2 linked regions of the Sus scrofa genome follow. The protein of the gene in region 1 interacts with the protein of each later gene in a biochemical or structural test. Links are inferred from orthologs where the notes say so. Each region holds a gene or a part of one and is shown in the gene's direction. Other genes may lie near its edges.

The links. The genes of interacting proteins can lie anywhere in the genome.
Region 2: of the proteins of MALT1 (region 1) and RELB, one has a biochemical effect on the other in vitro, tested with the Homo sapiens proteins (2 studies listed by BioGRID). The link is inferred for Sus scrofa from reciprocal best matches to the Homo sapiens genes MALT1 and RELB.

The regions. Positions count from the first base shown.
Region 1 is NC_010443.5:162,082,384-162,085,951, reverse strand, and holds part of MALT1 (mucosa-associated lymphoid tissue lymphoma translocation protein 1), read left to right. Parts: intron 1-1,784; coding exon 1,785-1,910; intron 1,911-3,493; coding exon 3,494-3,568. UniProt on the Homo sapiens protein: Protease that enhances BCL10-induced activation: acts via formation of CBM complexes that channel adaptive and innate immune signaling downstream of CARD domain-containing proteins (CARD9, CARD11 and CARD14) to activate NF-kappa-B and MAP kinase p38 pathways which stimulate expression of genes encoding pro-inflammatory cytokines and chemokines.
Region 2 is NC_010448.4:51,478,260-51,480,917, forward strand, and holds the end of RELB (transcription factor RelB), read left to right. Parts: intron 1-1,273; coding exon 1,274-1,659; 3' UTR 1,660-2,091; downstream 2,092-2,658.

The DNA.
Region 1 (3,568 bases):
TCATTTAAAATATGATATATCCTCACTTACTAAAGACTAAATTTTTGAAAACTTAAAAGTTGATGATTAATAAAAAGGAAATATGTGTATATATATGTTATATATAAAAGTATTTGTATTTCAGTATCAATAGTCATATTTAAAGACTAATGGCCAGAATATCTTAAATATGGTCATTTAGGAATGTCTGAAGATCACTCAGAAAAGAAGGCTTTAATTTCCCTTACCCTAAATAGGACATGAAATATGAAGGAATAAAGTATATTATACATATGTCCAGAATGATTTCCTTTTAAAAAGTATTGTTTTCAAAAAAGCTGTAACAGTGTAAGTCACATTTGTCAAGCTAAATAGGTGTATTGGAGGAAGAGAAACCTAATTCTTTGCAAACATTGAGATATGATACTTATTTTGTATTGGCCTAAAGAAGAGACTAAACAATAGCCCTCTTTACTACACAGTTGTAATAAATTAAGACTTAAGCACAGACTAAGAAACAATCCACAGCTTCTCCTTTGCTTCTGATAAAGGCTCTGTGGAGGATATTGCTCAGTGTGAGAATGAATGGTCCTCACTGACCCCCAGAATTAAACAAGCCTGTCTGCCAGTCACAGCCACTCTGGACTCTGGGCACTGGGCAGGTAGAGCCTAAGGGCTGCTGTCTAGAGTTGCAGAGCAGATCTGCTCTCAGCAACAGTTGGCTGTAAAGAAGAAAAAGGGAAGGGCTGCCTTTGGCATGTCCATTCATTCTTAAATATCCAAATCACATAAATCCCCTGCACCTTCCCAAAAAAAAGTGATAAGGAGGGAGAAAATCCAGGAGCCAAACACTAAAAAGGGCTCTAAGTTAAAAGGAAACTTGATGCAGAGTTCCCGTCGTGGCACAGTGGTTAACGAATCCAACTAGAAACCATGAGGTTGCAGGTTCGATCCCTGGCCTCGCTCAGTGAGTTAAAGATCCAGCATTGCCCTGAGCTGTGGTGTAGGTTGCAGACACGGCTCGGATCCCGAGTTGCTGTGGCTGTGGTATAGGCTGGCAGCTACAGCTACCCCTAGCCTGGGAACCTCCATATGCCGTGGGTACAGCCCTGGAAAAAGATTTTAAAAAAAAAAAAGGAAACTTGATGCAACTAGAGATTATCATACTAAATGAAGTAAGTCAGATCAAGATAAACACCATGACATCACTTATATGTGGAATCTAAAATATGGCACAAATGAATCTATACACAAAACAGAAACAGACTCACAAACAGAGAGAACAGATTTGTGGTTGCCGAGGGGGAGGGGGAAGGAGAGAGAGATGGAGTCCAGGTTTGGGGTTAGTGGATGCAGACTATTATATTTAGAAAGAATAAACAACAAGGTCCTACTGTATGGCACAGGGAATTCTATCCAACCTCCTGGGATAGACCATAGTGGAAAAGAATATAAAAATAAATGTATATTTGAGTCCCTTTGCTAAATAGCAGTAATTGACACAACACAATAAATCAACAAAACCTTAATAAAATTTTTTTAAGTTAAAAAAGAAATTTGAAGGACGCTTAGCAGTGTTTGTAGGAATACTTCGTTAAGTAACTATCCTTTCAGACTGATTTTTAAGTGTATTGGTGAGGAATATAGAATTCCTATTATTACTCTACAATCTTGTTTTTTTAGTCCTGGGTAAAGGATTACCTACTCAAACCATGATTCATCAGAGAACAGTACTTATTAAGATGTTTTGTCATCGGTGTTGTGACTTTTGCTGATTTCATTAATAACACTTACTGACTTCACAGGACCTAGATATTGATCCAAAAGATGCAAATAAAGAGACACCTGAAGAAACTGGCAGCTATTTAGTATCAAAGGAACTTCCCAAGCATTGCCTCTATACCAGACTCAGCTCCCTGCAAAAATTAAAGGTTATTGCTATTTCCTGTTTATAACTACTAAGGGAAAACTATGAAAGTGAAAATCCATTTTTGCCTGTGAACCCTTGGTCCATAGATGTGCTGCTTCATTGCATTGTAAACTGAAATAGAGATGATGGCTATAGGGCGAGTCTCATCACTGACCTTTCTCAACTGTAACCCATCCCCGATGATGGCCCGAGGATTTGGGTGTGAGAATGCATGTAGTTATCTTCCAAACTGTTAAAACATTAGAGACAAAGAACATAGTCTACTTTTAAATATCTTAGCATTTTCAAATAAGCACTTCCTAGTTCTGTGACTTTCTGCAAAACAAATTCAAATTGGAATTTATTTGAATCTTTTTTCATTTCTTGTTAATCTTACAAATGAGAAATGACATGGTACATGGTCTATAGCGTTGCGCTTTCTAATATTCTAATATTCTTGATGAACCTGAGTTTTTATTTATAGCTGCATGACCATGGAATGTATTAGCCTGAACTTGGGGAATGAAGTGGGCTCTACTGACAGTGACACAAGGACAACTGTCAGAGAAACCTGTTGTCACCCTGTTTATGGCTCATCCACTTAAACTCTCCTTGTATCTTTGCAATTTAGTCCATTTTATGATTCAGTTATAGTTTCCCACTTATGGTTGGGATTATTTGACAGTATTTTTAAAATAGCTAAACTTTTGACTTAGATGTAATGCCGATCATTTCATTAAAAGGTCATTGATTGCCCATCTCCAGTTATGGGGAAAGAGTTTCCCAAGCCCCATTGCTTGGAAAATGCCTTTTCACTCTTCGTCAATAATGTAATACCAGGAGTTCCCGTTGTGGCGCAGCGGAAATGAATCCAACTAGGAACCAAGAGGTTTCGGGTTCGATCCCTGGCCTCGCTCAGTGTAAGGATCTGTCATTGCTGTGAGCTGTGGTGTAGGTTGCAGACACGGCTCAGATCCCATGTTGCTGTGGCTGTGGTGTAGGCCAGCAGCTGTAGCTCCGATTGGACCCCTAGCCTGGGAACCTCCATATGCCACGGGTTCAGCCCTGAAAAGCCAAAAAAAAAAAAGGGAATACCACATCTCTGTGATTTTGGTTACTTTCAATAGTAAGAACCAGAATTCTACCAATTCAAATTACTGTGAGAGAAGGAAGATAATTTTAGCTACCTTTCTTAGTAGAGAAATTTTAAAGGAGGGAATTCCCGTTGTGGCTCAGCAGGTTATGAACCATGAGGATTCAGGTCCAATCCCTGGCCTCACTCGGTGGGTTAAGTATCCGGTGTTGCCATGAGCTGCAGTGCAGGTCACAGACGTGGCTCAGATCCTGTGTTGCGGTGGCTGTGGCGTAGGCCGGCAGCAGCAGCTCCAGTTCAACACCTTCTATACGCCACAGGTGCAGCCTAAAAAGCAAAAAAAAAAAAAAAAAAAGTAAAGGATACCCTGAAGGTTTGGAACCTGGGAAGGGGGAGTAAGAGTGGGTTTGATGTTGTTCGATTTTGCCTGTATTTGTGTGTGTGAATGATAATCTAAGACTGATGTACTTTCATGGTTGATAAAAATGGCAAACCTTACTTTTTCTTTTCAGGAACATCTTGTCTTCACAGTATGTTTATCATATCAATACTCAGGATTGGAAGATACCATAGAGGAAAAGCAGGAA
Region 2 (2,658 bases), on another chromosome or scaffold:
ATAGCCCTTCTGACAGGTGTGAGGTGATATCTCATTGTGGTTTTGATTTGCATTTCTCTGATGGTTAACGATGTTGAACATCTTTTCATGTGCCTGTCGGCCATCTGTATCTCTTCTTTGGAAAAATGTCTGTCAGGTCTTCTGCCCATTTTTAAATCAGTTGTTTTTATGATGTTGAGTTGTATGAACTATTTATATATTTTGGATACTAACCCCTGATTTGGCATCTCACTTGCAAATACCATACGAACCAGCAATTCCACTCCACTAATTCAGAAAAAAAATACATGAACTCCAGGGTTCATAGCAGCACTATTTACAATAGCCAGGATATGTAAGCAACTTAAGTTCCCATCAACAACTGAATGGATAAAGAAGATATGGTATATATACACGATGGAATACTACTCGCCATAAAAAGTGAAAAATTGCCCTTTGCAACAACATGGATAGACTTGGAGGATATTATGCTTAGTGAAATAAATCAGAGGAAGACAAAGACTGTATGATATCACTTACATGTGAAATCTAAAAAAGAAAACAAGCTAGTGAAAATAAAAAAAGAAGCAGATTCACAGATATATAGAGAACTAGTGGTTACCAGCTGGGAGAGGGCAGGGGGGAGGGAGAAGAGAGGGTAGGGGATTAAGAGGTACAAACCACTATGTATAAAATAAATAGGGACTTCCCAGTGTCGTGCAGCGGAAACGAATCTGACTCGAGTCCATGCGGATTTGGGTTTGATCCCTGGCCTCGCTCAGCAGGTCAGGGATCTGGCATTGCCATGAGCTGTGGTGTAGATCACAGACATGGCTTGGATCCTGTGTTGCTATGGCTGTGGCTGTGGCCGACGGCTGTAGCTCTGATTGGACCCCTAGCTTGGGAACTTCCATATGCTGCAGGTGCGGCCCTAAGAAGCAAAAATAAATAAATAAAATTTAAAAAATAAAAATAAGCACAAGGACATATTGTGCAGTCCAGGGAATTTTATAATAACTGTGGAATATAACCTTAAAAAATTGTGAATCACTGTGTTGTGCACTGGAAACATACAATATTGTACATCAGCTATACCTCAAAAAAAATTTTATGGTAACCAAAAAGAGAAAAAAGAGAGAATGGTGATAGCTTTTACTGAGGGTTTTCTTCTTGACATTAATGGAGACTGCACTGAAAATGCATTTAGTAACAGACTGGGCATTTGAGTTAGGACCCGGCAGGAGGCTGATCCTCAAAGTCCACCCTATTTCCTTCTTTCTCCTCCTCCCTGCAGGCCCGTTCCTCCCACCGTCAGCGCTGCTGCCAGACACAGACTTCTTCCCAGGCACTGTATCCCTCCCTGGCCTGGAGCCCCCCGGCGGGCCGGATCTCCTGGACGATGGTTTTGCCTATGACCCTGCTGCCCCCACACTCTTCACCATGCTGGACATGCTGCCCCCAGCGCCACCACTCTCCAGCGCTGTCGCGGGCAACGGGGGGGCAGGGGCCCCGGTCGCGGAGCCCCCGGGCCCTGAGCCGCTGACGCTGGACTCGTACCAGGCCCCGGGCTCCGGGGATGGAGGCACTGCCAGCCTCGTGGGCAGCAACATGTTCCCCAACCAGTACCGCGAGGGGGGCTTTGGAAGCGGCCTCCTGTCCCCCGGGCCTGAGGCCACGTAGCCCCTGCGGCACTGGAGGAGAGGCACTGGGTGGGGAGGGTGGTGGAAGGGGCCGTGCAAACCCAACCGGGATGTCCAGCACCCCCATCCCCTTGGGCTGCCCTTGGTCCGTCTTCCGACGTCCTCATCCTTCCTAATCGGACATCTTCAGTGCTGGAGAGAAACGCCGTAGCATCGGTTTCCCTTGAGCCCATTTTACAAATGAGAAAACTGAGTCTGGAGAGGAAAAGGGGTTTGGCTTCCAAATACTAGCTCTTTAAAGTTGCCTCAGCTGGGGTGCCTTCTCCCGGCGGATTCTAAAGTGTAAATAGGGGAGGGGGGCGCAGATCCCTAGCCCTCCCTCCCCACGCCTGAAGGTGGGGGGGGTAATTGTTCACAGTCTTCCCAATAAAGACGAATTTTTGAGCCCGGGGGGGGTCTCATCTCTTCTGCACTTGAGAAAATTCCCCGGCTCCTTGGGTACAAAGTCCCTTGGCTCTCGGTTCCGCTCCGCCCTCCTCCAGGCCCCGCCCCTCCGTCCACACCCTAACCTTGGACCCGCCCCTCGCGTCGGCGGAAGCGCGCCTCCGCCGCACCGTGTCCCCCTTCCCCTCCACCGCCCACTTCCGTTTCCGGTGCGGGCCGCGCGAGAGCGCAGAGGTGGGAGGCGGCGACGAGCCGGTGAGTGCAGGCGGCGGGCCCCGGTCTCCTGGCTTCTGGTAGACGTCAGCCCAGCTTCGCCCTTGCCTCAGCCTCTCTCCGTTCTGCTGTGAACCTCCGCTCGGCCCTGGCCCCGAGGGCCGCCCGCCCCGCACCCCGTCTGCTTGCCGGGCCTCAGGCCTCGCCCTGCCCCCGCCATCGGCCCGAACTCGCGCCGTCAGACCCGCAGCTTGCCACAGGTCCCGCCCCCTTGTCAAAAAAACTTAACCCGAACCTTCAGGTCCAGACCCGACGTTCGAGCCCTGTCCAGATCCTCGGGGCTCTGCCCGATCCACCAGCCTTCCCCCTAAGCTCAGCCCAC